Yarrowia lipolytica: one gene and its partners. The protein of the gene in region 3 interacts with the protein of the main gene of each other region in a biochemical or structural test. Links are inferred from orthologs where the notes say so. Each region holds a gene or a part of one and is shown on either strand. Other genes may lie near its edges.

Region 1 (8,348 bases), on a different chromosome or scaffold from region 3:
AATGGTCTTGAGGTTCGTCTCAAGCTGGTGCCCCGTCTCGACTATGGACGAAATGCAGAGGCTGGAATTGACGGTAAACGAAAGCGAGTGGCCCGAATCCCTCCCCCACGACTCTTTTCTGAGCAGGAGGCTTCTCAGTATGACCCTCGAAATCTGCAGAAGCGTGGCCCCAATGCGTACGTTTACGCGGGAGACGAGTACATCGGAGGCTTCCTGTACAAAGATTTCAAAATCACCCTGGTGAACGCCGAGAACGTTGCGCCCAAGCTTGAGGAGCTGACCCGTTTCAACTCTGAGGAGACTGACGGTATCGATCTGGCCTCTCTTGCCCAGAGCCTTCGAAAGTCTGCCGCGGCTGTCCAGTTTCAGGGTGGAGATGTCGTCGAAGTGTCTGAAGGTGAGCAGACCGGTGTTCAAGGTACTGTCATTTCTACACACGGCGATATCGTCACCGTGGAGGCCACGACGGCTCCTCTGGTTGGAAAGCGCATCGATCTGCCTAGCCGATCTCTACGAAAGAAGTTTGCCATTGGTGATCACGTGCGAGTCATTTCCGGTAACTTCCTCGACGACACTGGTCTGATTGTGGGTCTAGAGGACGACTCCGTGACTCTACTGTCCGATCTCAACAAGAAGGAAGTCACAGTGTTCGCCAAGGATCTCAAGAAGGTGTCTGATATTGGAGGTTCACATCAGGTCGGTGACTACGAGCTCCACGACTTTGTGCAGCTTGACGCTCTTCATGTCGGTTGCATTGTAAAGGTGGAGAGAGACAGTCTGAAGGTGCTCGACCAAGAAGGTACTGTTCGATCAGTCACTCCTTCTTCTATCACCATGAAGCTCACTCGAAACATGGAAGGTCTGGCCACCGACTCCAACGGTTCTGAGATCAAAATTGGCGATACTGTTCGAGAGACCGTCGGTGAGGGTCGACAAGGTGCCGTTCTTCACATCTACAAGAACACTCTGTTCCTCAGCTCCCGATCTCTCGGCGTCTTTGTCGCCAAGGCCTTCAAGGTTAATACCATTGTTGCTAAAGGAGCTCGAACACAGTCGAACTCTCAAGCAACTGGTCCCGATCTCACCAAGATGAACCCTGCCGTCTACAATGCCCGACCTGGCCAGATGGCTCCTCCCGTCATGCCCAAGCAGGGAGGTTTCGACCGTCTCAAGGGCAAGCATGTTGCTATCGGGCCTGGTTCTCAACACAAGGGATGCAAGGGTATTGTCAAGGAAACCACAGACGATATTGCTCGAGTCGAGCTTCACGCTCCCTGCAAGGTTGTCAACGTTCTGAAACACCAGCTGCGAATCTACGACGATTACAAGAAGACGTACCTGTCATACATGGAGTTTGCTACTCCTAGAGGTATGCGATCGGGTGGTGGTCGTCCTGGAGGGCCCCCTGGTCCTGGCGGACCTGGGTCTGGTGGACAGACCCCGTCGTGGGGTGGTGGTGGAAAGACCCCGTCGTGGGGAGCAGGTGGAAAGACCCCGTCGTGGGGAAGCAAAACCCCGTCGTGGGGTGGGGCAAAGACATCGTCTTGGGGTTCGCGAACACCTGCTGCCAATGCAGGAGGTGCACAGACACCCGCATGGGGAGCAATGGGAAACAAAACACCATCTTGGGGCGCATCAGAGTCTCGCACCCCTGCATGGGGCGGGGCAAAAACTCCAGCTTGGGGAGCAGCTGGTGCTGGGTCGAAAACCCCGGCCTTTGGAGTCGCACGTACGCCTTCGTGGAAGTCGTCGTCTGCAGGAACATACGGCGGCTCTTCTTCGCGAAACAAGGGCTGGGAAGATCTCGGAAGCGGCAACTCGGCTCCCACTCCAGGCTACGCTGCTGCCACTCCTGGTGAGATGATGGGTGCCCCTACTCCAGGTGCTGCTCACCATCCTTGGGAAGATTCTGCTCCGACACCTGCTGCCTATAACGACGCGCGAACTCCGGGTGTCTATGATCCTCGAGGTTCTGGACCTGCTCAGGCCGAAACCCCTGCAGCCTGGTCCACGGATGATGCTCCTCGATATGATGATTCTCCCACTCCTTAGTGGGACGTGTGTGTATAATAAATGATTGTGTATTATTCTGCAATATAGATATGAGCGGCTTCCGCGTAGAGGCAATTGTGTGGCTGTTGTACATTACATACTATACTGGTGTAAGTGGTAGATTGAACTTCTGGGCGGTGATCTTCGATTACCAGCGTACTGTACTTGTATGATTAATACCATCAGCGCGTATATAATTACGATCGCACTGTAGGTGAACAAAAAGTAGCAATATCATTGAACAAACAACTGACTTATTCGTTATGCTTTATACCACTCGTTAGCATCATAGCTGAAAAGTTCGAGTCGTTGGTCTCATCAGCTACTCCACGTAACTTGTGGGGAAAGCACCTCTTTGTCCGTTCAACTCTCCCTCCGTCCATCCATCTCTATCGGGCTCCACCACCACAATCTGGTCACCGGCCTTGATCGACAGCTCGGTATCGTCCTGGGCATTGTAATCATACAGTGCGGTGACGTAATCGACCTTTTTGGCACCCTGTTTGGGCGCGACAGGAGGACCCTTTCGTTTGATTGAGAACGCAGACTTCAAGCTTCCACCTCCACCTCCAGAGGATGGTGTGGTGGCACTCTTGGGAGGGTTCATGTCGACATATGAAGCAGGCACAAGTCCGTCAGTGCCATCGCTCTTCCGCACTCGAATCCATCCAGAGCCATCATCGGTCTCAAGAACAGTCACATGCTCGTTTTCGGAAATGAACACCTCGTCGCTTCCCTGAGGTTCATATCTATACAACACCAATGCAGAACTCTCCTTGTTCCATGGAATGGGGTCTCCTTCTCTGTATGTTAGAGTGTCCAGAATCAACTTTCCCGTGCCGCCAAATCCTGAGGTGGTGGTGTTGCTTCGTTTCACCGGTGTCGGTTCCGGAATGTTTCGATCAATCTTCTTTTTGCCAAACAAGAAGTTGTGTCGTTTCTTGATCACAACGGGTTGGTATGAGTCGAGATCCTTCTCACCAGTGTTGTGTTTGATGGTCTCAGTTTCGACTTCTGCAATGGTACGCTTGGTGTCGTCCACCGTGAGACTTCTCAGAGCGTTGATAGACTGACTAAGCAGCTCAAAGTGGTTGTTGGAAGCTGAATCAGAGTCTGCCTCGGCCAGCTTCGTTGCCTTTCGCTTCTCCAAGTCCTGGAAGCCGGCCTCCTTGGACGCAATAGTGTCTTCGAACTGGTGGCTGAGTCGCTGCGAGTCGCCCAGTACAGTATGCAGGTATCTGAGAGCCACATCATCGAGAACCATGTTCTCATCGTCGTGCCAAATAGGGCACGGCTCGTAAATGAAGTCGATGGGTTCCTCCCATCCGTTAGGGGCAATATTGTGCTTGGTGAACATGGCAGAGTCAAGAACGGGATGGTTTTGTGCAACCATTTCAATGGTAGCGTTCATATGCTCGGTGCATCGATTGTTGCATGCAATTTCGAGAGAAGCAGCCTTGCTCAAGAGTCCGTTGAGCAGCTTGACTCGTAGTTCGTTGAGTTCCTGGTATCTATCCAGCAGTTCAGGAACATCCTGGTGATAGTACTTGTCCTTGAGACGGTTGGCGACGTTGATCTTTACAAGATACATATTTTTGGCGTCGTTCATGTCGGCGTTCTTCGACTCAAGCTTCCGTTCCAACTTCTCCTTAGATTGACCAATGAGACCGCCCAGCGCTCCTCCCTTTTGGCCCTTCATCCGCTGGTTCTCGACAGCCTGGCAGGCGTCGTAGTAGCCGTTTTTGGTCTTCTTGAGCAGCGAGTAGTATCCATCTCGGTCCTCAATCAGCTTCTCAGAGAACGTTTGCAGGTTCTTTCGGACGTTTTCACTTTTCAGGGACAGGGCATGGACCTGGTCGGCGATTTGGAGGTTGAGCTCGGACGCCAGACGGTTCTTCTCCTTGGCCAATGTTTCGGTCTGGGTCAAAATTTCTCCCCAAGTGACAAGAGATGCGGATTCAAGAGACCCAGGAGTGACTTCAGGATGTTCTCCGACTGATAGAACGGAAGACACTCGAGCTTTCTTCTCAAAGTACTTAGAACTGAGCGAAGAGAGCTTCTGGGAGTACTCTTTTTCAATGGAGGCTCGTTCTCGGTAGAAGGACTGAACATCCGAGAGGAAGGCGATTCCGTGTTGAGACTGTGTTAGTAAGAACTTTGAGTGAAGTTGCAGAGGATAATGGAGATAATTGGCGCCTAGCCACGTCTCCTCGTGACTCCAGAGAAACCCGTGGATTGGCCCAAATAAGACTCTCTTGGATGCGAAGATGGAGGATATACCAGACAGGGCTTACTATACCTTCATCCGTTGCTACGGAGCCGTTTATAACAGAAAATATCACCGCCAGCTCAAGAATCACACCAATACCGACACTTTCTTATCTCCCCCTTACTCCATACCACGAGTCTTAGTCACATCATGTGGACAGCTCCCTCACTTCCCACACTCACCCAATTGTCCACCTTCTCCCAGCCATCGAGCAGCTCGGTGCCCATGCTAACTTGAACGTCCGCCATGTTGATGTTGTATTCTGGTTCCTGTAGCTAGTGGTTCACGCAGGTTGTTCACGACATGTGGCAGGATAATGCGGGTTGCCGTGGAGACGCAACACGAAACGCTAAAGGGTTACCCGGATTAATATCCGTAGAGATCTGGCAGGTGGATGGAGCAGGAGAGCCGTGACAAGGATGGTTGAGAAGCCCGCATCCAGCTGGATTTATTTAATGTAGTGACGGTTCAATATCACGTGTCCGACACGAAGCATCTCCCTCGTTTTGAAATTAACTTGTGTGGGGAATGTTGACTGGTAATGTAATTTTTCGGAATAAAGCCAGCGTGTAGACATCGATTAGCGGCTGGCGTTTCGATGATGGCAGTGCACGTCACGGGTACAGCCACTTTCGGGGTTGTGTCCCTACCAGAGATGGCGGTGGAGATTTGAAACGATTAGTGACGTTTGCTTAGTCACATTTTCTTAGTCACACTTGCTTAGTCACGTTTGCTTAGTCACGTTTGCTTAGTCACACTTGCTTAGTCACGTTTGCTTAGTCACGTTTGCTTTTTCATATTTGCTTTCTATGTTTGCTCTTTTCATCGCTGGGGGAATGCAAGGACGATGTTGAGTATTCGTATCGAAAAGTAAATACTATCTAAGTAGCCTTGTGAATGTATAGTTGCGTAATTGTTAAAGTGGTAATTAGGTGATTATAGAAAAGTCCAAGTACGATACTGATCAACCTTGCCACACTCAAAGACGGGTAACCCTTAGACCGGGTAATTGCATTGATACGCGTAGAAGGACCGTCGATCGATAAGAGTGGTGGAGGACTGAACTCGGTTTTTGACCGGTCGAGCCTCGGCCTCGTCCTTGAGTGCCTGCAGAGGTTTGAGGAAGGGGAGAAACATTGAATTCGACCATTGATGAAGCTGAAACTGGATACAAGTCTCTTTTTTTTGGTTCTATTCACTCACTGCAATTCCCTGTGCGTTAGAGTAAATTGGTCGTGCTTCCTATATGTTGACATTCTATAAGCGACTTCTGGACAGTGGTGTAAAATCAGCAATAAGAAGACCATGGAAGTAGTGTAAGTTTCGGAACAATTATCAGCTTGCAACAATCTCAATTGGGTGCTGGAGTCCGTCCCTTGTCATCAGAATATTCACCCTCCAGAGAAATTTCTAGAGCTTCGGCATGTGCTTATTAATACAAACTCTAAAATGCAACGCTTAACTGAAAGTATATTTAGCTGATTTCGATTGCTTGTAATTAATGGCTGCAAACAGGCCCAAAATGAAGGTAATTAAATGTAGTGGACAGATTTTGTGGATTTGTATAAACTATTCATTTGACTTTGGCCCTCAATTCGTCACTGGAGAGTGTTACCCACCCCGGAATCGAACCAACACCCCCCTTATTTCCCAAACCCTAACTTTAAAACTACCCTAGATACATACACACAACACTTGTTTTTTTTGTACATCTACCACAACCATCATGTCTGGTGAGTATCACCCCTAATACGTCTCGTTCCAAGCGCTAACACAGTCGATTTCAACACCCTCGCCAAGCAGTTCTGCGAGTTCTACTACCAGACCTTCGATACCGACCGGTCTCAGCTCGGTAACCTCTACCGAGATCACTCTATGCTCACCTTCACCGGTACTCAGCACCAGGGTGCCCAGGCTATCGTTGAGAAACTTGTTGGCCTTCCCTTTGGCCAGGTCCGACACAAGATTTCTGATATTGACGCCCAGCCCGCTTCTGCTCAGGGAGGTGATGTCATTGTGCTTGTCACCGGAGAGCTGTGCGTTGATGGCGACAACCCGCTCCCTTACGCCCAGGTTTTCCACCTGATCCCTGATGGATCTTCGTACTATGTCTTCAACGACATTTTCCGACTCAACGCTTAGAGTAATGCATGCGATTGATATGAACAGAAACGTGAACGGCGTGAAACGACGTGGAACGGCGTGAAACCGTGCGCTTGAAGGAAGCAACCGACACGACAGTTCAAACAGTGTCGGTGTCATGGAACTTGTCTGCTAAGGTAAGCCAGGCTCTGTCACTAAATACACTGTGGTCATGCTGCAAGTCTGTAGTCACCTCTGTAGCGCTCGTATCCCCGATGATAGTACTTCTTTCGCCTCTCGAGCAACACGTAACACCATGTCGCAAGCAGTCTCAATTGGTATACTACTTCTGTAACTACACGTAGATTCTGTAGTTTTGACGGTTTACTCTTACTGGTGCTCACATTTATAGACGTTCCCAATCCGCCACTGAATGATTCTGACAGTCTTGTATCCAAGCTTGAGTTGGCTGGTATCGCAGTATAGCTCATGATACTACATGGTTTAATGGCATGTTGTCTTGGTACGATACTGTATCATACTGTGCTTGAGTCTCGAAAGGCGCATCGGGGGGAAGGGGTTGCCAGTCGAGGAGATCCAAGCGAACGGCTAGATCGCGGATAAAAGAGTGGTCGTCAATCGTGAGAATTGCTGGCATGCTGTGGGCATATGTTTAAGTCTATGAGCTCTACTAGATTCCCCGTGGCTACCGTGAAGAGCTTACAACACAAGTAAATGTGCAGTCTTGCCCCCATTCCACCCATTTCTCTTATGCTATCTTCAATGCTCTTCTCGAGAACCACTCGCCAGTACTTCCATACCAGCAATGGACAAAAGTAGGTCAGTGTTCTCAGAGACTCCTTCACATGTCAATCATGTAACCAATGTCCGGCGTGAGTGCTGGTACTCGTGACCAATAGATGCCTGTCTAGTGTGTGCTATGGTAAGCGACTGGCTAGCCCACATAGAACCCCACAAAACATCTGTCCAAGATATTCTCATAGTTGACCCACGCGTGAGTCTTCATGAACAAGCTCGTACCGTCTCTGCCCGCACAAACCATCAACTTTGGCACTCCTCCAGGATGAAAGTTCAGATAAGGCGTGATATTGTACACTTTGCCATTCAGTACCATCCATGCATCCTCCTTGCTGCGGTGTTCCTTTAGCATATCCTTGGTCACACGTACTGGTCCCATGGTATCGACTCCTCTGAGGTTCTTTCCCGAGTTCCGCAGCTTGGCCCAATCTAGAGGTGAGTAACCAGGCTGTAGAACCACCTTTTCACGTGCCTTGGAGGCTCCACTGGGCTGCGTGAGTCCACCTACTCCAACCGTGCCTGTACCAGGAGGAGGTACTCTGAGGGACGAAGTCGCCGGAAAACGCCCAGGGGCCGGTGTACGTGAAATGTTGGGCTGTGGAGTCGGTATAGGCCGGTTCGACGTTGGCGGAGGCAGTCTGTCTGAGCTTTTCACCGCCTGTGAGCGCTGGTGCGAATCACGCGCTGGAAACATGGTAATTTCGTCATCTGTGGGGCCTGAGATTTCAGCTTTTTTGTTATCTTGCGGCGGCGTCGGATTCGAGGGCGGGTTCATGATGTAATTACCGTGTCTATGGCTGTATCTAGGTCTTAAGAGGACGCGTATGAGTGATGTGAGATTGGGCACATGTTCGCTAGAGATGCACAATGAGTTAGTTTCAGTTAGAGTTGTCCAAGCAAGGCTGAGCATTTTCGTTGAAAAAAAAAAAAAAGAGATGGACAGATGTAGTTGGCAAAAGAGCATTATTACGTGAAAGAAGATATCTTGGTAAATCGTGTTGGGAAAAAGTCTCTACTTGTATGTCCATCAAGTTCATATACCTCTACGTTACAAACAGGTCCAACGTACGGGGTTTTGTTGTTTAGTTTCTCAGTTAAGAGATTAACTATTCTCTAACAAACAAGC
Region 2 (7,656 bases), on a different chromosome or scaffold from region 3:
CACATAACATAGGCTGTATCAATGGAGCCTCTAGACGTATCCATTACGGCAGCCAGGTCGTCAAAGGTATCGAGAAGGTTGTATACGCCGTTGAACGAGTCAAACAGCTTCTTGTACGCCAGTTTGGGCACCTCCTTGATGAGCACGTTCATCATGTCGGCCATTCGGTTGCCCTGAGAGTAGTGGGGCAGAGCCAGGATGTCCTCCTCCATGAACGATACAATATTTCGTCGAGCTCGGTTTGTCAGCTGTTGAGTGAACCGATCAATAGTGAACATGAGCTTGGACAAGTTGGAGCCATCAATGTTTCTCTCATCGTACAGCTTTTCTAGTTCAGTGGAAGGTCGGATGGTAGACACACCGGTTCCAGTTAGAATATAGATCTGGGCACCAGAAAGACTGCTTCCGATGCATGCACTAGCCTGTCTGCTGAGCTCCTGGCAGATACCTTCAAACTTGCTCCAAGCCTCAACCTGGTCCTTGGCGTAGCCAGTGTAGTCGGGACCGCTGTGGTTAGTGTAGAGTCTGAGCTGTGACGAGATGGCTTCACTGATGGTGTTTCCTCCTCCTCCATGTCGAGAGAAGATGGAAAGAGCAGCCTTGAGAAGGGGCACGCTGTAAAGAGAGACGGCACGCTCGTAGTCGTGGACTGTGAGTGGTGGGAGCATTCGAAGAGGTGTTCCACACTCAGACCACTGGATGTCTCCATTTCTGTTTACTGTAGCCTTCTTGACAACGTGGGACACACCAGACATCCACACGGTGGAGACCTCGAACTGACCCTCGTTTTGACGGAACGCCATGTCCTTTAGCGACCATAGTCCAATGTCTGGGATCTTGGACGAGAAGACCTGGACGAAGTTTTGATCCCAGAAGTAGATGGTTTCTCCACAAAAGGTGATGAAGAACTCGCCCGACGCACACACTCGAGTGACAGGCTCAGTGTCGAGTTTGCTCTTGTCGCTGTCAAACTTGATTTCTGTGCCGGTGAGAGTATTCAGATCCCACTTTTTGAGAGTCTGGTTGACAGACACGGTCAACAGGTGGTTCTCAAAGTTTGTCATAGAGATAATAGCGTGGATGCTGAGATGCGGCATGGACGCAATCTTGTCCTTGCTGAAGAACCGGTCCTTGAGGCTCGTGAGATACGAGGGGTCGGAAAATAACGATGTCAGAAACAGGCCGTTCTTCTCTTGTCGTTCCAATTTCATGAGTCCTCCGTCGCATAAAGATAGCACAAGTTCGTTGGACTGGCCCTTGAGCGACTTGAGAAGAAGCGGCTTTCGGCTTCGAATGCCGTAGTCCTCCTGCTGCTGAAAGAACCGTGAGGTGTCGTAATGCTCGGTGTTGTCCTCATTGAACAGAGCAAATGGCAGCTTCACGCTGTACAGCAGAAAGCTGTTTGAAATGGAATCAATGTAAAGAACCCCATCCTTTTCAGTCACACACGTGCAATGGTTCTGTAGTCCCTCGGGAAAATAGATACGCACACTCTTGCGATCGTGATTCACTCCAGTCACCTCCATGATGTGCGACTCGTCGAAGAAGCGCACAGAAAACTCGCCATTGGTCGAGCTCTGGAACATCTGCCCTTCCTTGGACACGTAGCGTCGCAGAAACACCTCCTCGGCATCGTCAGATTCCAGTTTTCGCTTTCTTTCGTCCACCACCTTTTTCGTGATCAATTTCGAGCCATCAATCTCCACGTTGGGAAACAAGTATTCCACTTGTTGATGGGTGCCGCCGACGGGCTCCTCTCGAAACGTTTTCGCCACCATGTCGTTTGGTAGTTGTGCGGATGGAAGAGATTTCGAAGCACGTTGTTTGATACTCCAATATTTTGACTACTTGTATTTTTGTTTGCATGCATACTCCGAACTTAACTTGTCGAAAACATGGCGACAGGCACCGCAAGATACAGCATGTACATCCTTCTACTTGTAGCTCGGTGAAGATGAATATGTAAATACTAAATATGGATATATAGATAGGAGGGATGTATATACTCATCATTGAGCAGTTATTAAGTCATTACCTGCTATATCGCCGCATATCCCAGGTTACCACCCAGAGTTGTCATCATCTTAACCCTGCTTTCCCTAAACTGTAGGTGCTGAGATATCAGCCTCAACTGAACACAACTGAATGCGTCTGCTTGAATCAGCCTCTGAAAGACGACTGCGCATTTAAAAACAATAGAACTACTGCACGTCGCACCTCAGAAGGTAACACTCTCTTCGTGGTCACTAAGCATACTGCCCAAGTGTTGTTGTCCCAAAGTATGCCACACCCACACACACCTCTGGGCACAGCTGACTTCCAGGATATTATTACTTCTGTTCATACCATCTCCGTTCATGAAGTGTTACAAAACAGTTACTTATACGAGTAATAGGAGCTCATGCAATAAAACACGACTACACCCTTCAATGAATGGAGTACACAGCTATGACACTGGGGTTACACTTCTCAAACTACACTCACCTTGACTTCGATTCATACAATCGTTCTTTAAATTACATACAGCAGAAAACGAGCAAAGGCTTGCACAACAGCAATCACCACACTTAGTAACACTTTCGGTGGACAATGGTGGGTCCGGCCTCGTCGTACTCCTGCTTGGAGATCCACATCTGCTGGAAAGTACCAAGAGAAGCAAGAATGGAACCACCAATCCAGACGGAGTACTTTCGCTCGAGGGGAGCGGTGATCTTGACCTTGATGGAGGTGGGGGCAAGAGCGGAGATCTCCTTGTGCATTCGCTCGGCAATACCGGGGTACATGGTGGTACCTCCGGACATGACAATGTTTCCGTAGAGATCCTTTCGGACATCAACATCACACTTCATGATAGAGTTGAAAGTAGTCTCGTGGATACCAGCAGCCTCAAGACCCAGCATGGAGGGGTGGAAGAGGGCCTCGGGAGCTCGGAATCGCTCGTTACCGATGGTGATGACTCGGCCATCGGGAAGCTCGTAGGACTTCTCGAGAGAAGAGGACTGGGAGGCAGTCTGGAGCTCCTGCTCAAAGTCGAGAGCAACGTAACAGAGCTTCTCCTTGATGTCTCGGACGATTTCTCGCTCGGCGGAGTTGGTGAAAGAGTAACCTCGCTCGGAGAGAATCTTCATGAGGTAGTCGGTAAGATCTCGGCCAGCCATATCGAGTCGCATGATGGCGTGGGGGAGAGAGAAACCAGAGTAGATGGGCACAACGTGGGTGACACCATCACCAGAGTCAAGAACGATACCGGTGACTCGACCAGAGGCGTACAGGGAGAGGACGGCCTGGATAGAGACGTAGAAAGCGGGAGCGTTGAAAGTCTCGAAGAAGATCTGGGTCATCTTCTCTCGGTTGGACTTGGGGTTGATGGGGGCCTCGGTGAGCAGGACGGGGTGCTCCTCAGGAGCAACTCGGAGCTCGTTGTAGAAGGTGTGGTGCCAGATCTTCTCCATGTCATCCCAGTTGGTAACAATACCGTGCTCGATGGGGTATCGGAGGGTCAGGATACCTCGCTTGGACTGGGCCTCATCACCAACATAGGAGTCCTTCTGGCCCATGCCGACCATGACACCCTGATGTCGGGGTCGACCGACGATGGAGGGGAAAACAGCTCGGGGAGCGTCATCACCGGCGAAACCGGCCTTGCACATACCGGATCCGTTATCGATAACGAGGGCAACAGTTTCGTCTAGGTTAGTATGGTGTGGTTATTTGATGGATTGATTGATTGCTGATGGATTGCGCTTTTCCGGGGGCTGGTTGGGTCATGCGCGGCAGCATGCGACATTATCAGTGTGGTGACACGTCATCGCAAAGCGCGAAGGTGCCCAACGGCAAGACGGACGCTCTGGGCTCGCAAGCGCTCTCGCAGCTCCATCCGTTCGATGATGGATTGATTCGCTTGCTGGCCCGTGGCTTTGGTCGCCATGTTGGTGGTGATGACTTGTCGCTGGGGAGAAAGCGCCATTTGTGGTTTTGTGTCCAATCCAGGGACCGACTCGCCATCAATCCAGACAATCGATGATGGCAAAGCCCGCTGTGCCATCGATGGCATTGGTAGTACTCACCTTCCATTTTTAATTTGTGTGGTTGTTGGTAGCAAAGAGATTTGTCGATGAAATACCGATGGAGGAGAGGAGAAAAGTAGGAGTTGGCAAACACAAAATTGGGGTGCGCTGGCTCGTCTGGGTTAGGGTTAGTTATGTCGCACTGTCCAGCACACCACACAGCACTCACGGTTGGGAAGTAACGGAGACAAGGCCACATCTCAAAGGTAAAAAAGCACTGCCGAGGAATAGGGGAAGGTGGCTGGTGGAGGGGGTATTAGGACTGGTAAATGAGCCGCTTAACCACTGGTATTTGGTATTCTAGAGGAATTGAAATCGATCCGAAAGTTACAGAGCTCTAGCCCGTCTGGATTGCCCTCTAACAGCACCGTCTTCTCCTGTCTTTGCCAAGCACACTCCCTTCCAATATACTGTTATGTACGAAACTGTGTGTGTGTGTGTGTGTGTGTGTGTGTATTGGCATATACGATTTGACTGACAAAAAAAAGCCTACCTCTATCTCCCCCAAGCTTTTTGGGGTCCTCTCGGTGCTAACCACTGTACCGGAGATTATGTCAATGTTGCGGTATATTTTGAAAGTGGTGGGTTGGTGTGCGGTGAGGGAGAGAGTGGGAGGGGTGAAAGGCGTGGATGGGGTAATTATAGCCTCGGTAATATCTCCGATATCCGACTCTCATCTGCCCTCCTCTAATGGCACCTCCTGAATAATATCGGACCCCGGTAGGCGTATTTTTGCTTACTCGCTGCTTGGTGCGAATCTAAAAATACCGCACTGTGGTTGACCCCTAATTTTTAGTGCAGAGCCATATATGCGACCTAGTGCGGCTTAGCATCCATGTGAGCAGGCGGTGCAGGAGAGATTGACAGCGGGGAGCTATTTGTGGGACAGTGAGTGGCTCCGACTACAAGTATTCTTTGTGCCTCTTTTGCCAGCACAAGTAAATGCCAGCACATTGTGGAATATTGCCGGTTCGCTTCCCCCCCATCTACCAAACAAGGTTGGTCAATGTTTGGGATCGGGTAAAACCCTGGCCCTTGACATGTGATTCGCGCGTTATGGAAAGCAAGCGACGGAGATAAGTTGAGAGAGAACGCTGCGCAAACATCTGGAAAGAGCTCATTCCCCGCCTCTCTGGGCACAGCTCTGTCTGAATAGCCCAAACTCAAGGTTATCGCGGGTGGCTTGTGTCTGTTTACCTCGTGGACGTCCCAAAGTGCTCGTCCCAAAATGCCGCCCCTTTACACCTTATTCGTATCTCGGCGATGCTTAACTCCGGTGAAATTGCCTGCCGCAACCCACATAATCTCTCAGAGCTATATTTGGTCCATGTTCCGGTACGAGTACGAGCAGAAACGGGGTTGTCAGGCCGTGCCCCGCAGTGTACAGCAACCCACATGCAGTACGTGGCGATATCAACTGCACTCTGCACATACTCGTACATTGTATCGTGCCGTAGCGCAACTATCTATCAAGTACACGTACAGTAGCACCAAACCCCGTCTTGTACTTTCCAACGGTTGGACCAAAAAGCGCCCAGTGCCCTCCACTTGTCCATGTCAGACACATTCCGAAACGTCGATATGGTAAGAAGAAGTTTCCTGTATGGTCGCATCCTATACAGTATGTACGTGCTTCCCTCACCGTAAACATCGTGAGTAAACACTTGGAGCCTGTGCACTGTGATAACGATATAAGCACTCAATTGGGCGAAGATATGGAAATGCGCGTGTCAATTGCCACCTAATTACCGGTATATACAAGTATTACAGGGCAATCTCTTTCTATATCTGGGTAAAGCGCTCCTCATGTCTTGCATAACAGCTCTTAACCGGCAGACATACAAGTACCAGTAAATAAACGCCCGCACCTCACATACTCTACAGCTGTACTTTTACGCCATACATACCGTACAATTCATCATACCATTACCTTGAGGGGCACTCATTACCTCCCAGTGACCACATCTCCACTACTTTTTTTTTATCTGCTATAATTATATCTGTTATACATGCTACTATCTAACCCCTTAATGCACAACATCGTCCCAGGTTCGACCCTTGACGCCACTGAGCTCCTCCTCAGACATGACGGCGCCGGTGGTGAAATAGCCAGCCGCAATCTTGGCATCGATCTCGACTCGAGAGTCCGGAGGAATCATCTCGTCGGGAATGGGCACACGCTCGTGGATGGGGATACCCTGCTCCACAATGGCGTCGTGCTTCATGTTGGACATGGACAGCATTCGGTCAATCTTCTGGATACCCAGGAAATGCAAAATGTCGGGCATCAGTGCCTGGAATCGCATATCCTTAACTCCGGCAATGTTCTCCGTTCGCTTAAAGTACGTGGCAGCTGAGTCGCCTCCTCGCTTTCGCGCATTATACACTAGGTACTTCGTCACCTCGCCCAGAGCTCGTCCCTCCTTTCGGAAGTAGATGACCACTCCCGAGCCACCCTTCTGGGCCTCCTTGACTGCTTCGGAAATACCAAAGGTCAAGTAGGGTCGGCAAGTGCAGATATCGGAGCCAAACACGTCGGATCCGTTACACTCATCATGGACTCGGAGAGCCAACTTCTTGGAGGGGTCCGAAACTCGGTCTGGGTCGCCGAAAATGTACACCGTCAGGCCTCCGATGGGAGGTAGGAAGACCTTGATGTCTGGTCGGGTAACCAGCTCGGGGTACATTCCTCCAGTGTCCTCGAACAGGGCACGTCGAAGCTCCCCCTCCGTGATTCCGAATCGCTCGGCGACTCCGGGCAGATACCACACGGGCTCCACGGCCACCTTGGTGACCGCGAGATCTCCGCTCTTATTGAGCACAATTTCGCCATCAACCTCCATGGTTCCGTCTCTGACCTCGTCTCTGATTTCGGCTAGTTGCATCTGCGCACGAGTAACAGCGATGGTGGGCTTGACTACAACTCCTTCCGCGATCGTCTCATGAAAGAGCCAGGGAGCTAGATGACCATAAGGGTCCATAGCCACAATCTTCTTGGGGTCGGACCATTGGGGGTGGGGTCCAAAGGTGTGCAGAGGATAGGCGTTGGTATAGTCTGCTCTGTGTGTAACGGGCAGGTCGTTGGTGGCAACAGCCAGTGCGTGGTAGATACCATACGATCCGTGGTGGGCTCCGATGGCATTTCGCTGCTTGAACGACGATTGATCACGGGCCACAACAATGGGACCTCGCACCTTGGGGTCCTCTGCGCCCCATCTTAGAGGAATGGGCTTGACGCCACTCTGTCCGGGGTAGGTGGTGAGAATGACTCGTCCCTCGTATTTGGGGGGCGACAGAGGCGTGACAAAGGGCTTGTCTGTCTCCATTTCTGTGTCCTCGTCGTCTGCTGGCAACATGGGTGGGGTGAGGGTCTTTGTAGTCTGGGCAGGGGTCTTTGAGGCCGCCTCGAGAGCAGACACCTGTTTGACGAGCTGCTCCATGGCCTTTGCGTCTGTGGGGTTGGCCTGAATGTCCCTGAGGACGTCCATTACTGACTGTACTGACATTGTTAACGTGTTGATGGGTGTGGGACAGTAAGGGAAGAGTGACGTGCTTATATGTGTTTTTGGATTAACGGTTTGGGCGGGGA
Region 3 (7,857 bases):
AGCACTGGTTTCCATCTCCTCGAGTTTTCCAAGCGCCGAAATCGTCGATCCAATCAACATGACTTTGGATCCGTCTGGAATCAGCTTGAACACGTGATCCGAGCTGTTTTTGTCGCTGATTTTGACCAGACCCTTCTTGCCCAAAAAAACCTTTTGGTTCTTGGGTGGCACGCCTGTCGTGAGATCCAGTTCCGCCTGTAGATCGGCCAGTGTGAGATCCTCAGGGAGATCTGTCAGAGGCGTACTTTTGCCCTTGAATGAGAGTGTGAGGTTCATGTTGTTGATGTTGTTGCGTGTATGCTGGTTTGTTTGTACTGGTCTCGCTATTATGTCGTATGAGTAGCTGTGCAAGTTACTGCACTTGAAGACGACACCCTAGTATATCCACATCCATGTTGGTGGCGTGCATAATCGCCAGAATGTTATTAGTAATGGTGGCGACAGGCGAGAGGAAACTTGTGATGTGATTAGAGAGCACAGCAATAGAAACTTCTAGATACGGATCTTCTAGGCGGCCAGGTTTCGTATCGGAAACTTGAGCCAGTCCATCTATCGAAGTTTCTAGAATGTGTACAGTGAGCTTGGTGAAGCTCCACAAGCGCGTGTACGAGTGCGAGTATCATTAACTAGTGAGAGTGGATTCAAACAGCCTCCCCCGTCCTTTGACTCTGTACCGCTGAATCTGTCTACTTATCACAGCAACTCATTCCAAAGACTACACATCAACAGCACGTAAAAAGTGATATTTTCTAAGTATCTTCAAGCTGCCTGGAGAAGATTATTTCTTACCAGACTTCTTGATACCTCCTCCGGAAAGAGGACCTCCCTTGCCGGCCTTGGCAGCCATCTCCTTTCGAGCCTTGGCGTCAGCCATCTGCTTCTGCTTGAAGGCGAGATCCTCCTCGTCCAAATCAGTCTGCTTCTTCTTGGGAGCCTTAAGAGCTGGGTTAGTGGGGGTTGTGGGGGGTTGATCACGTGGGATCGGCTGGTGAATCGATTAGTCATCGCATATCCGTCAGATTCGCGGCCTTTTTCCGCCACAATACTCACGCTTAGCTTTTCCACCCTGTCGTCCGGACATATTTGTTGATGATGGTTATGGCTGGCTGCAGAAAAATGTTTTAGAGTTGTCTGCACGTGACGACGTGGGTCAGCACGGATGTATCCGTAGATATAGGTGGTTACCTGGGACAATGGATGGAGAGAGAAAACCGTGATGTGTAGTTGGGGGATGTCAGGCTCATTGTGTTGCTCAGTCTTGCCCGTCTCTCGCGTGGACTTGTTATCCAAAGTTATGGATTTATAACAAACGGTGTACTAAACATTCAACTACAATGTAGCCTCACTTAGGAGAAAACACGGACAAGTCAAGAGTCCATGAACATTGTTAGAAAAGGGGTATATTTGTCACCACTTTTGTTGAAGAGTTGTATACCTGCATTCTACTCGTGTACTCGATGCATCTCTTGAACGTCTTCATTAGCAGAATATAATGTCTTCTACTATCTCTTAACTATCTTCAACTAAATAGTTCTCAACTACGAATGTACAGTATGTGATGTGTGGGCACACTGATAACCACCTACAACCCCAACCCTGTTATGCCATAAAAGGAATGTCGTGTCAAGACATGGACCTCCATGTAATAAACGATAGTGAAGATTGACATTGATGGTAGTGGTCAGAAGTGAACAGTTGAGTGGTTATAATGTCACCTGGCCTTGCTCAGAACACCTTCACGTGACACAGACAAAGTCAATTCAACACTGCAAAGCTATCTCTCTGCAATATAGCATGTATAGATACCATGGTACACTACTTCACGTGATCGATATATCCTAATATTCACAAACAGGAACCACCCACAGACACTCATCGACGCCAATTGAACCCCTCAATGACCCACAATTCCACATCTTCCTCATTCTCACCTCACCTACTTAACTCCCAATCAGGACACCAGGGCAAGGGTTGAGAACGTGTGTTATTCGCTATCTATGCATGGATTATGCTTCGCCGCTGCCAAGCCTATGTTCAACCTGGCCAAGTCCGAGAAATCCTTTTTTTTTTTTTTTAGAAAAGAAGGACTTTTTGGAGACCGGGGCTGTTGATGCCGCCGCCCCCACAGCGGCCCACAAACCTACTCACTCCGGAACAAGCCTATGTGTCTTAAACAACACATTATTCCCGATTGGGCCAGTGCCGTGGGAGGCAGTGTCCAAAGGGACAGGCCGGCCAACAGAGGCTTAGAGAAGAATGGATGGGTTCGAGAGAAAAGGCATTGAGCTGGTCAATGAAGGAGTATCGAGTCGCACAATGACAAGGGGTCCACCTAAGACACCAATTGGACTATTACTTCATTACGTAAGGCCGATAAACTGATGCAGCCATCTTCGGTAGAGCGAGTGAAAATCACGACGACGACGACGATCACCAAGATGTTAACGAGGCTCACGTTATCATTCGCAATCAATACGAGATCCCCGGAGGCTGAAATAACCGGAGATTCGCCAGCCACAATGCGAGTGACTGTTGTTTATTGGATTGTCTGAAGTGAAGACAAAGGACATCCAAATTGCACGGTCAGAGAACATAAACAAGCAACAAGAAATTAATACTTGTAGTGTTCACTGTAATAAAGCACGTGACTCGACCACCGTCACGTGACACAAAAGACGTGCTTCAAAACGGTAACTGAATCAGACTATTAACTATCAATCGTAGATGTTCAATAGATGCTATGAAGCATTGGATCCACGATAGCAGAAGACGGTGTGACCGCGTCTACCAATTATACACCATGTCTATGGACAACATACTCGCTTTGCTCGTAGCCCCATCGTTTCATCTGTTAATTACATAGTCATTATACTACCAGTCATCACCGTCGGACTCGTCGTCAGACTTACTGACCTGGCCCTTTCGTTTATTAAGAGCCGAGGCCAGGGCGTCTGCCAGCGAGTTGCCACCGCCAGGAGCTCCCGGGGCAGCCGAAGGAATGGTAGGGCTCTCTCCACGAGCCTCCTGCAGCATGACCGAAGGTCTATCAAGTTGCGACTTGTCCACCTTCTTAAGAGAGCCGATTCCACCAGCAGCTGTGATAGACGACAGCAGCGCGTCTCGACCAGCGTCTCCGGTAGGAGGAGGAGGAGGACCAGGAGTGACTCCAAAGTCTCCAGAAGGGGGGGAGGGGGAGGAGGACCTCAAGACATGGCTGGGGGAGGACCGGGGGGAGGAGGGGAGCAGCAACTTCCAAAAGAAGGGAGCAGCCACAGGAAGAAGGCGGAGGGGGTGGAGGAGGTCCACCAGCTGCAGCAAGTTCAGGGCGGGGGGGCGGAGGGGGGAGGAGGAGGGGCACACACCTCCAGGAACTCCAGGAACAGGTCTCGACTGAGGCCGGGGGACGGAGGAGGAGGAGGAAGAGTGTATGAGGCTCTGAGTCTGCCGCTGGAGAAGAGCTGCTGCAGGGAGGGGGAGGGGGTGTGTATGCAGTTTGGGGCAAGCAGCAGGGGGGGGGAATTGGCCGATCTGGAGGGAGGAGGAAGGAGGTTTCGATTAGAGGAGTGGCTCCGTCTCTGGGTGGAGGAGGGGGAGGGGGTCCTCCTGCTGCCGGGGTTCCTCCTCGTGCCGGCAGAGAGGGGGGAGGGGCAGGCACAGCTCGTCCAGGAAGTTCTGGAGGAGGAGGCACCGATCGTCCTGGTAGTGCAGGGGGCGCTGGCGAACCACGAGAGGGCAGCGACGGCGGCAGCGACCGTCCTGGAAGCGCTGGTGGGGCTGCTGCTGCTGTTGGAGAGGCTGGAGTTGCCGCAGGAGGCGGAGCACCTGCGTTTTTGCCCATGAAAGATGGGGGAGGCGGCACATTGAACCGTCTGGGGGGTGCTACAGCAGCTGGTGGGTCGGAGGGAGCAGCAGGGGTGGCCGGCAAGTCGGGCTCTGGAGTGCTAGAGTAGCTAGGGGGAGCCGAGGCCGGCGGGGGAGGAGGAGCTGCTCTTCTGTCGTTGTTTTGGGTTGATTCAGCAGCAGCAGCTGGGGGAGGAGGCGGTGGGGGTTTTCGGGCATTGGTATCAGCCGAAGAAGAAGTGGCATTACTCGTGCTTCGTCCCCGGCCTCTGTTTCGAGGGATTGGAGGTTCCAGACCCACCAGAGGACCTCCCGTCTGTCGAATGTGTTCCTTGATGAACTCGGTGTTATCGGCAATCATCTCCGGAGTGATTCCCTGCTCCTCCAACTCTCTGTACAGCGCTCGCCATTCTTCCGGCGGCTCGTCGTCGTAGTAGACGGGTCCCGAGTATCCCAGTCGAGTACGGGGTTCTCCTCTGGGTCCCACGGCAGCCTTTTCTGCTGGAGCGGCCTTTTTCAGCGCAATGGCGTTCTTGTTTTTGACCGTATCCTTGCTGGCGTACTTTTCTCTGTTTTGGATCCGCTTGAACAGGTGAGCGGCCTCGGACTCGTCTTCAAACAGAAAGCCTGCAAAACAGTCCTCCAGCTCCACCGAGTGAAAAAACGTTCTGTCCTGGAAGTAGTTGACGCCAACATACAGCTCCTGGTCCCAGAGCACGCCTCGCGACCCGTGGATGTCAATGAGCTTCAGAAACAGAGTGTGGCCCACAAGATCGTCCACCAGAGCTAGCGCTCCAGACAGCCCGGTGTACTGCCAGTTATCAGGGTCCGGGTAGGCAATGTAGAGACGTGCGATGGTGCAGTCAATCACCTTGTTGGTGTTTTTCGGCACCACTCGCTTGATTTTCTCCTTGTCCGCCGAGTTGAGAAGACCCATGGTGGTGTGTGTGGATGTTGCTGATGGAGATAGAGTGTGCTGTGGGAGTGCATGCGTGGAGGACCCGTGTGTTAGTAAGCAACCATGGAAAAGTGCGGTAATTTCTTAGTTGAACGTATAAGAGTGGTACTGAAGCTGCGGTGAGTGTGAATCCATCTTCTGTTTTTTTCAACCTCAACTACAATCTGTTTTATATGCTACGTTATCCGCCCCCTCTCTCATGTACACATTCAGATGCCACCTAAATGGCTCACAGTGGTGGTATCTCCATGGACTCGGAGTTAAGCTGTTCCCAACGGCGATTTTCAGAGTGCATCAATACAACATGTACAGGCTACAACCGGGTGGAGGTGGGGGGGGGGGGGGGGGGGATATAAGCCGGGTCACGTGTGACATTGCATATCGGCCCATCCACCTTGAGCTTTCATCACGTGACCACACCACGGGACCATAATCTGGGATATCCCAAACCCAACATTCCATACTGTTCTATGAGTCGGTTGTATAATGGAGTGGAGGGTGGCAGAAGTACAGCACGTGCAAGTAGCGGGATTACATGGGTGAATGGTGATTTTGACATGGGGAATATGGACGAAAAATTTGGGCCTGATTTCCATATCACAAAGCGTGCGGCTGACCTGTCTTCTCATTTTCCGAATGCTTTCGGTCTGACGTCACTGCTATTGAACTAATGAAAGCAAGATTGTTAATTATAAGCTCCACAGTTATTATACCTGCTCTACTACCGCGCTTGTACATCTTTACTCCAAGGTCTGAAGAAAAAAAAATTGGCCTTGAGGAGTCAGCACTACTTTGCACCATTACACGGCAGAGGTGACTGACTGGACATATAAAGAGCACTCGACACACGGCACGCATATCCACTTACTCACAACGCCACCAACCAAGGTACAGAAGACAAACACTGAAGATGAGCGAAAACAACGGGCCTCCTGATCCGGCCCGGGACGCGGTGGCGCAACTATTGCGGAGCGCTCTGCGTCGAAATCTGGACGTCCAGCACAACAGAGAGGTGGTTCAGGAGTACATGGACCGGCTTCTGAATGGAGATGGTACGAACACAGACGCAGCGCCAGGAGACACAAATGCAGCGACGGAGACAACAGAAGCACCAGCATCGACAGAGGCGGCAAGCGCGACGCCAGCAGAGACTTCTTCGACTGCTCCGGGCACACAAACACCCCCTCAACCGCCTCATCGACACATGCCTCGTGATCGGCCTATCATGTTGGTTACATATTCACTAGGTACAACTCAGGCGCCGCCACCCGGCACGGCTGACAACACCATCTGGAACCTGGCGACGGAGGCATCGCGACAGGCCCGGGAAGCCCGTGGACGTGAAGCTAGAGGCCGTGCTGCTGACGGAGGAACCGCACAAGCATACCGATCTCGGTCCCAATCGCAACGAAGAGCCGGAGATCGCACCCGGGAACGATCCCCCATGCGTACACGGGTCAGTGATGGTGGAGCCGAGGCTGCCAGAGAAACGGCAGCAGCAACCACTGACTCCACCGCTGAGCCAGACGAGGCTGGTCACGTGCATCTCAACCAAGCCGCCGGAGGCTGGTTGAGCAACCCATTGATCCAGCGGCTGCTGCAACGGCGGGCTGCTGGAGAGGATGATGCTGGAACAGATGCGCCTCCAGACACAGCTGGTGATGCCCCCAACATCACATTCAGTCCCGGAGGAATCGACCACCGCCCTGATGGCACTACTACGGCTACATTCACTATCCCTACACACATGTTTGCCGGTGGTGTTCTAGGAGGAGGGCGACACAAGCCCAAGGCATCACGACGGGTGATTCGCAACCTCGAAACGCTGGAGCTGAGCGAGGTGGTGGAGCAGAACTGTCCGATCTGCTACGATGCATTCGAGGAGAAGCCGCTGGGCTGGGACGCTATTATCGCCAAGTTGGCCGAGCAGGAGAGAAAGCAGGAGGAGGACCGACAGCAAGAGAGTCGAGGGCTGGCGTCGGAGGCCAACACATCCAGTGCATCTGTGTCTTCGGATCCGTCGTTCGATTTCAACCAAGTTAATCCTGCGACTTCAGTACACGGTCCAGTGCTCATTGAACTAGCTTCTCCCAGTGAAAGAGCCATTCAGGCCGAGGCTGACGAGATTATACGGGCTAGAAACGATCCTGGAGTCGAGGAAAACTTGCGCCAGGCTCTGGACGAGGCTACCAATCAGATTCGGTACATTGTCGACACCCCTGAAGATGCTGCTGCCTTCAGAGAAGCCAACCCTCAACAGCTGTGTCCTATCATACGTGTGGACCCGGAGGCAGGTCCACGTCAGCCGTTTGTGATTCCCCGGATCCCCGAGGGTCTACGGGAGGCACATGAGGAGGTTGCTTTGCATCGGGTACAACAGCGGGTGATGGAACGGACTGTTGAACGGCAGTTTGAGCGTCAAACTACGGGTGGAACGACAGAGCGGACGCCGCCAGCTACTGCTGGTACCTCTTCTACGGGATCCACGTCTGAGACAGGGGCTGAGACAGGGGCAAACGCAGAGTCAAACACAGAGACAGAGACTGAGTCGGAGGCTAACTTCCCTGAGAGTCACGTGGCAACCAAGATGCCCTGTGGTCACATTTTCGGCCATCTATGTATCTGTGAGTGGTTGCGGTCAAACAACTCGTGCCCTCTGTGCCGAGTGACCGTTGAGTCCGAGTCCGAATACCTGCAGGCTACCGGTCAGCCCGACGAGTCTCGGTCTGGCGGCTTCTTCGAGGTCCTCTTCAACGTACTACCTCGTGTTTTCCAGGAGATTGAGGCAGACCGACGCCGTCACAACAATAGCAACAATCCCCAGGGCCCCCAGACCGCGCAGGGCGAGATCAACGCCAGCGATATGTTCCGTGGAGTTCCTGCAGCAGCTAGAGCTACTGGGACAGCTGGTGTAGGTACCATTGACGCCCGACCTCCAGTTGTCGGGCCTCAAGGGAACGTGCCTCACTTTCTGAGCCGTGGAGTTGAAGGCTGGCCGCAGTTGTTCCACGCTCACCGTGTAGAGACTGGCACTGGGCCCACACAGAATCTGCCTCCCG
Region 4 (7,821 bases), on a different chromosome or scaffold from region 3:
GGGGAAATAAAGATGCACTCAGTATATATAGATGTGAACAATCCTCGAAACTTGTATTCTCATCAGACAATCTCATCAACACTCTCTTTCACAACTTCTACAGTCTTTTGACACTCACTTGTCCATCCGACACCTCCACCACTTGTCCATCCGACACTCACTGTCTATCCGACACCCACTGTCCATCCGACACCTACTGTCTATCCGACACTTTCTTATTACTGTCTATCCGACATTGTCAATTGACGCTATTCACTTTCATTTGCGATGAAGTTCACAACTCTCCTTTCTATGGCCTCTGTGGCCATGTCTGCCGCCGTCACTGTGGAGATTCACTCTACGGTGCTAGAAACCGTGTTCGAAACAGCCTCTGAGACGATAATTTCCGACGCCGCAACCCCCGAACCCTCCCCCACAGTCAGATATGTTACCATTCTGCCCAAACCCTTTCCTGCATTCAACGGCGTTGCCCTGAGCGGCACTGTCCACAACAAGCGAGACACCGTCGAGACTTCTGTCGACTGCAATCTCGGACTGGCCTCTGCCTCTGCTGCTGCTCTCCGGGAGCAAAGTTCAGCTGGTACCTCGTCCGCAGCATATACCGCAACCTTAACTTCTGGTAGCAATCTTAGCTCCGAGACCCACACCATTGAGGTTTCTTCTTCTACTTCTTCCATTCCCGAACCTGCCACCGCATCAATTGAGACCGAGCCTAACCCCAGTCTCATCCCCCTCTTTATCCCCGTTCACCAGGAAGACTCCCCCCCCGACACTACCACCGACACTCACAACATGGGACTTGGAACCAAAATCAGAGACATGGTCAACAACGTTGGCCCCGTGGCCGCTGCCGACCTCAGCAAGCCCAACCAGGCTCCCAATGACCGAACCATCTTCCAGTCGCGAAACAACCATGGCCCCAACATTGGCTCCATGTTCCTTCTCGAGAAGTGGCTGACCCCTGGCATGTTCCCCGACTCCGCCAAGGGAGACGCTGAGCTCGACGCTGTGACCGCTCTCGTTGCCGAACAGGGTGCCGGCGGCGCCCAGAAGAAGTTTGAGGACCACTGGAACACCTGGATCACCGACGACGACTTCTCGTACCTGCAGTCTGTGGGAGCCAACGCCATCCGAGTGCCCATGGGCTACTGGACCATCAACGGAGGCGCCTTCACCCAGGGCACCCCCTTCCAGCAGTACCAGTCCGTCTACCAGAACGCCTGGTCCATTTTCAAGACCAACATTCTCGACAAGGCCCGAGCCGCCAACATTGCTGTTCTGATTGATCTGCATGCCGTTCCCGGCGGCGCCAACGGAGACGCTCACTCTGGAACCTCTTCCGGTAAGGTCGAGTTCTGGGACTCTCGAAGCGACCAGAAGATTGCTATTGACGCTCTCCAGTGGGTCGCCAAGGACGTGCTTTCATACGACAACGTTCTCGGTATCGAGGTCGTCAACGAGGCCGTCTACGACGCTTCCACTTCCAAGGAGGGCTCTTACTACCTGCGAGCTCTCGAGGCCATCCGACAGGTGAACCCTGACGTTCCCGTCTACATCTCCGATGGCTGGGCTCCTACCGAATGGAACGAGTGGGTCCAGGAGCAGAACCAGAAGCTTTCTGCCGGTCAGAACACTGGTTTTGTTGTCGACTCGCACGTCTACAAGGCCTTCTCCGAGCAGGACAAGGGCAACTCTCCCCAGCAGAACATTGCCAACGTTCCCGCCTACCTCAATGTTGGAAAGGCCCAGGCTGATTCTATTGTCGGCGAGTTCTCCTGTGTCTTCTCCGAGGAGACCTGGGCTAAGGCCGGCGGTGAGGACCGAGAGCAGCTTGCCATCAAGTACGGCCAGGTTCAAATTGAGTCCTTCAACCAGAATGCCCGAGCCGGATGGTTCTTCTGGACTTACAAGTTCCAGTACGGCGATGGAGGCGATTGGGGCTTCAAACCCATGACCCAGAAGGGCGCCCTCCCGACCTTCTCCAACGGAGGCTCCAACAAGGATCCCAAGGCCGGCATCAAGGAGGCAGCCACCAAGGCTACCGAGGAGCACTCTGCCTACTGGGACCAGCATCAGGGTAACTACGAGCACTGGCGATACGCCGATGGATACGTTTCGGGATGGCAGGACGCTGCCGCCTTCTACGAGTTCCACGGCTCCACCATTGGCCGAATCAACGCCTGGCAGGACGCCCGACGAGCCCAGCACATTGCTGCTAAGGGTAACTCCGGTGCCATCTGGGAGTGGGACCAGGGCTTCGACGCTGGTATTCAGGGTCTGCTCAACTACATGCGATCTTAAGCAGATCGCTAGGGCCACTTCAAAACACTTTACGACTCTACAATCACGACTTTTCACAACCACATTCTTCTCTGACTTTCACGGTCTATCGATTGGTAGATCTCTATTTATTCTTTAGCATTTTCTGAATACATTTATTAGATATAATTACACACAGACAGTAGCTTCAAGTAGCGACCAGTAGCAGTAGCAATAACAGCAGACAGGAGCAACGGAGTAGGAAAAGCCACAATAACCACAACGTGCTGCCATTGGCTTGTGCACCAACGTCAACTGCACTATTATCTCGGATATTACGCACTCTTGGCACAGGACACTACGTAATACGTAGGGTCATTGGCTCTTGAGACGAGAATTCTTTCATCAGTATTCTTATAATTAATTATCAACATAGTGTACACATAGCCTTCTATAGTACACCCAACATTTCTACCAACTCACCTCGTGTATCATGACACTGGGCTGGATCAATCGTTATATCATAAATGTACACTACATACAATCCCTAGACCATGGAAAACAGAGAAAAGTTTCGCACAATACCAGGTCCCATCTCGTCGTAATCCTGCTTGGTGTAGCAGTAGTTCTTGAACTCGGGAGTAGAAGACAGCAGAGATCCTCCATACCATACAGCGTTTCGCTGCTTGGAGTGTGAGATGACCTTCACATCGACTCCCGAAGACTTGACTCCGGTCGCCCGCTGGTTAGCAGCAAGTCGATCGTCAGCAAGAGTTCGAATGTCTCGCTGCAGACGTCGGCCGAAATCCTTGAACATGGTTGATCCTCCAGACAGAACAATGTTCTTGTAGAGACCTCGTCGCACATCAATGGGCGAGGACTGGACCACGGTGTCGACCACCTCGGACAGAGGGGTCAGGAAGTCGGACGAGGCAATTTCGGGATTGAAGAAGATCTCAGGGGCCAAAAATCGCTCGTATCCAACATCCACGGTGGCTCGTCGATGCAGACCCTGGTCGGCCATGTACTTTTGGAATCGGTCAGGGTCGTTGTCGAATCGGTTGAACTCCTTGACAATGTCCGGACACACATAACAGTAGTTCTCCTTGATCTGCTCTGCGGTCTTGAGCGACGTGTCGGGCTCGTTTCGGTCTCGAAGCATGTTCTGAATGAAGTAGGTGATGTCTCGGCCCGCAATGGGGATGGACTTGATGGCCGAGCCGATAACGTAACCCTCGGCGACAGGGATCACGTGGGTGACACCGTCTCCGGAGTCGATGACGGTTCCGGTCAGAGATCGATCAGTCACCTTGTTGGAAGTCCAAGATGCGGCCAGAGCCAGGACAGCCTGTACGGCAATGTAGAGACCGGCACAGTTGAAAGACTCAAACATGATCTCGGCGGTGTTTTCTCGGTTCTCGGGGGGATTGAGAGGAGGCTCAGTTAGCAGGAAATGATGATCTTCGGGCTCGCATCGCAAGTATTTGAAAATCGAGTTCTCCCAGAACCGCTCCATGTGATCCCAGTTTTCAATCTGACCGTGTCGAATGGGATAGTTGACCGAGTAGGCAGGGCCGTTGGCGGCGGCGAGGGCCTCGTCGCCAATGTAAAAGTCGAGGTCTTCGGTACCCTTACGACTGATGTTGCCGCCGGAAGATCCTTTGGCGGTGGCAATCACTGTAGGGAAGACGAAAGAGGGGGCATCGTTACCGGCAAAACCGAGTTTTGTGTAACCGGTACCGCTGTAGTTAGTATATGTTTGGTCGTGGGTGGGCTGGGATGAATGACAGGCTATGGTGTTGATGTTGCCTTTCACACCACACAATCACATATCAATGTGGGGTATCGGGTTTGCGTAGATGATACAAAGAGGACTTGAAACAAATATGACGGGTTATGTTTTCTCTGATGATATGATAACATAATCTTAGTGTAGCCACTGATCGCTTCCGTTGCTGTATGTTTCTGACTGTATCGTTATGTCGTTGTGTCTTCGTCGATGTAGATGTCGATGTATCAATATCGACATGCGGCCTGTGTCCAAAGATCGATTGAAGAACCATAGTTGGTTATGACATTCCACAACAGCCATCATCGTCTGTCAGCACTCTCTTGTTCCTTCTCATTTCTCTCATTCTCATTCTGTTCATCATCACCATCATCCCACAGCATAACCCTCATCACCTCTCCAAAATGTCTCAATGGAGATAAACCACTGAATTACTCACTTGTCTGAAGTTAGTAGAGTCCCCTTGAAAATCCTGCCGTGTCCATCCAGTCACGCGATACTCACCCATGACAACCGCAGGGGTTCCCAGATGCGCCATTGTTGCTCAATTGATTTTTTGTTAGCAGATGATGCTCAAGGGCTGGTGTCGGGATGTATGTGCTGTAACTGACAAGCAGTGTTGCGGCATATAGAGTTACCCGGTAGTGGCCACCTGTAATTTGGGTGTGCGGTGCGAAGTGGGAGGACCGGAGATAATGCGTGTTTAGTGCAGTCTGATATGGTGCAGTGACATGTCCGAAATATCATGTGATTGCTTTCAAGTGAACTAGGGAGGAGTGATAGTTGACATTCAGAAGATCTGTCGTCAATTTATTGCTTTTTTTGTGTACTTCATGGTCTATGATTGACCCATGGTTGCTTCTGGGGTGATCCACCGCTTAATAATCCACGATAGAGACGCAAGATAGAAACGCACAGGTTGAGCACCGGGATGGAAAATAGGTATACGTTGATAGGAAAGTCATCAGGGGGAGCACTGGAATCAGGAAGATGTATTTTTTTCTCTTGAATTGGTTCCTAGTGTGATTGGAACATTGATTGAATCATGGCACCAAGACCACGGGACTTGGTTAGGATTACTTTGGTGTGAAAAAGTTTAGTTGGAATGACACTTATTAAATGTTTATTATTCTTCTAATACCCAAGTGGTCTAATTGGGTGGTGGTCGACGACTGTTGGTCTCAAAAGACACAGTATGACGGATACACCACTTTCAACGGTATGAAAAGTATACACCATACACACAAGTTGGTAGCAATTTGTCAGCTGTGAATATAATAATGGCACACGTCTTTTTGCACTACTGTGTGTACTGTATTCCCTTTGAGAAGATGGAGGTTACTGTTTCTACAGTTAGTTAGGCGGATCATGTATCACTCTGAGAGAGCTCGATAAGTATGACATAAAATGCAGTTTTGTTGGTTTGTCATATCTAACGCATTTATATGCATGGAAAGGACCTTCTATCTCACTTTTCGTACATACTGTATACTGTACTTGTATCCCACCAGCTTCACCCTTTAACGATTGACCCAAGTATTGGCGTATCCCAGTTGGCTTCTTAGTTTAACTCTGAAGGGTCTCTGCCTCATGTATTGAAGGAGAAAGACTGCTCCCGCCATACCTCAAATGTACTTGTAGCTTTTCCATGTCGGCCTTCAGTATACTCTCGTACTTGTACTGCTGTTCATCTTTATAACCATCAAACTTTTCCTATCCACGTGTACCGGCTCTTGTAGGTACAAGTGTGTTTTTCCACGGCTAAAAGACCAATAACACCTATGTGTATCGTCTTTCACAACAGTCAGTTCACTGTCTCAGTTTCACGAACCATTTTTTTATTTTTTTTTGGTTCTCTCGCTCTTGTAATTTGCATGCAACACATTCACACGGCTATAAATAGGAACTACTTGTAGTGGAGACAACTGAAAACACTCGAGAGGAGACGACGATATAGAAGACCGCTAAAGTCATTGATACAGGAGCTACCAGGAATTTATTTCGCCAAACTGACTCTGACATACTGAAAAATTCACCTATCATGTTTGTTAGTCTCAATATTCATTCTCCGACCACGACTAGTGTGGCGTATATACTAAAACACTTGTTACGTGTGACACCAAACATACGCCTAATTACCAGATGGTGTACAGCGAAGAACACTAAATACGAGGGTTGGAGAGCCATAAAAACAACGGAAGACCCAGGAAAGTCTTCTATATATATATGTCTGGAAAATACCTCTCAGATTTTTACGGCTCCAAACGTCACCCAACAGCCATAACATAAGTACAAGTACTCGTATTGTACGACTCGTACAGATATGCGTTTCATGTTTCAGATCCACGCGTAGCCACACAGACACAACTTTGGGAGCGCTAAGGTTTTTATGAAGCAGTGCCCACTTGGATCGACAAGGAGGGTTCGATGTGGAGATAGAATGACAGAGGGGGACCGTTTGGGGAAATTCTGGGTTATTGTAATCAATTTCAACCCTTTGTAACAGTAGAACTCGCTGTAAAATTGGCACATTTCCACTTGTATCACTTTTACACGCGCTCCCCCTTTTTCTTACCTAGGGGCTCTGGACTATGTGAACACAGGGAAATTATCTGCCGAGTTTAACCTTGGGTAGTAGGTGGGTATGCACTATGGTGCACAGGTGGGTGAGATGTTGAGACCAACCACTTGGAGCCTCATCGCTGGGGCTGTTTGAGGACAGAGGACAAACCGAACCACCCGGAGCATAATTTTTGCATACAACAACCCCTTCGACTGTCCATCTTCCAACACCGACTCAGACACAAGTCGACATCGACTCTGCATCAGCATTACATCATCGGACTGACAACGGACAACGAGAGAGTGACTATTTGTAAGACTGCTCTTGGCGATACAAACAACTTCACAAGAGGACAATACAGACAAGATAGACGGCTCTCGAAAGATATTCAGTACGACGGCGTACATCTTTTCACGCAACATATCATTTCCTCTTGCACACCACCTAAACGAGTTGAATCAGTAAGTCATCTCACTCCTATCTCATCACCATAACTGCATACAACCCATTCTCATGTTCCCATTCTTCTGCTTTGAAAACCGGGAGAAATGGGCACGCCAAGTCGGCCAGTCGTCGTTCGACCTGGTGGACATGACCCAGTTCCACAGCACTTCCTTCCGAATCATCATCTCGTACATCTTCATGTATGTCCAGATCATCATCACTCTGGCAGTTTATGCCTCAGATATTTACACAGCCATCATGTTGTTGGCGTTCGACCGCTGGGCCTCTTCCATCACCCCCTACGTGCCCTTCCACATCTCCCGATGGCTGTTTGGAGGCTGCATTCTCTTCTCATTTGTGCTTCTCATCTACGACTACATCCAGGCTTACCGTGTGTGGAAACGGTATAACATCTGTCTCACATACACAAACCCCATCTGTCGAACAATCTACTCCATCAAAGGTTTCAACTACTTTTGTTTGTTTGCTAAGATCACCAAGTCTAAGGAGTTCACCGACTACGTTGCCCTGTTTGTCTTCTTCACTTTCAAGGGCTGGGCGAACCTCCTGTTAGCTGAGGGACCGAGACAGGTTCTAAATGCTCTCACTCTGTATTCAGTGCTCAAAATTGACGACGACTTTGTGGGGGCTGTTACAGCTCTGGCTGAGAAGTCACATATTGAGGCTGTCGTTGTATCCTTCATGGCATTCTCGCTGCTCATCTGGGTCATCTCCATGTTCATGTTCATTCTGGCAATGCTCTGTT

The links.
Region 1: the proteins of YALI1_B28744g (region 3) and YALI1_C16255g form a complex in vitro, tested with the Saccharomyces cerevisiae proteins (2 studies listed by BioGRID, with this or other methods). The link is inferred for Yarrowia lipolytica from reciprocal best matches to the Saccharomyces cerevisiae genes LAS17 and BZZ1.
Region 2: the proteins of YALI1_B28744g (region 3) and YALI1_D10600g form a complex in vitro, tested with the Saccharomyces cerevisiae proteins (4 studies listed by BioGRID, with this or other methods). The link is inferred for Yarrowia lipolytica from reciprocal best matches to the Saccharomyces cerevisiae genes LAS17 and ACT1.
Region 4: the proteins of YALI1_B28744g (region 3) and YALI1_E40540g form a complex in vitro, tested with the Saccharomyces cerevisiae proteins (4 studies listed by BioGRID, with this or other methods). The link is inferred for Yarrowia lipolytica from reciprocal best matches to the Saccharomyces cerevisiae genes LAS17 and ARP3.

Annotation. Positions count from the first base shown.
Region 1 is NC_090772.1:1,621,314-1,629,661, forward strand, and holds YALI1_C16255g (uncharacterized protein), read right to left. Parts: upstream 4,570-8,348; coding exon 4,504-4,569; intron 4,193-4,503; coding exon 2,375-4,192; downstream 1-2,374. Other genes in the region: YALI1_C16204g (uncharacterized protein), read left to right, coding at 1-2,052; YALI1_C16275g (uncharacterized protein), read left to right, coding at 6,197-6,463; YALI1_C16283g (uncharacterized protein), read left to right, coding at 7,060-7,064, 7,121-7,316; YALI1_C16294g (uncharacterized protein), read right to left, coding at 7,359-8,186. UniProt on the Saccharomyces cerevisiae protein: Plays a role in endocytosis and trafficking to the vacuole. Functions with type I myosins to restore polarity of the actin cytoskeleton after NaCl stress.
Region 2 is NC_090773.1:1,056,456-1,064,111, reverse strand, and holds YALI1_D10600g (actin), read right to left. Parts: upstream 4,075-7,656; coding exon 4,068-4,074; intron 3,689-4,067; coding exon 2,568-3,688; downstream 1-2,567. Other genes in the region: YALI1_D10623g (uncharacterized protein), read right to left, coding at 1-1,778; YALI1_D10565g (uncharacterized protein), read right to left, coding at 6,095-7,573. UniProt on the Saccharomyces cerevisiae protein: Actins are highly conserved proteins that are involved in various types of cell motility and are ubiquitously expressed in all eukaryotic cells.
Region 3 is NC_090771.1:2,871,377-2,879,233, reverse strand, and holds YALI1_B28744g (uncharacterized protein), read right to left. Parts: upstream 4,778-7,857; coding exon 3,071-4,777; downstream 1-3,070. Other genes in the region: YALI1_B28789g (uncharacterized protein), read right to left, coding at 1-276; YALI1_B28781g (uncharacterized protein), read right to left, coding at 779-942, 1,051-1,081; YALI1_B28766g (uncharacterized protein), read right to left, coding at 2,333-2,529, 2,582-2,594; YALI1_B28735g (uncharacterized protein), read left to right, coding at 5,709-7,857.
Region 4 is NC_090774.1:4,049,977-4,057,797, forward strand, and holds YALI1_E40540g (uncharacterized protein), read right to left. Parts: upstream 4,587-7,821; coding exon 4,553-4,586; intron 4,006-4,552; coding exon 2,807-4,005; downstream 1-2,806. Other genes in the region: YALI1_E40502g (uncharacterized protein), read left to right, coding at 268-2,301; YALI1_E40571g (uncharacterized protein), read left to right, coding at 7,125-7,821. UniProt on the Saccharomyces cerevisiae protein: Functions as ATP-binding component of the Arp2/3 complex which is involved in regulation of actin polymerization and together with an activating nucleation-promoting factor (NPF) mediates the formation of branched actin networks.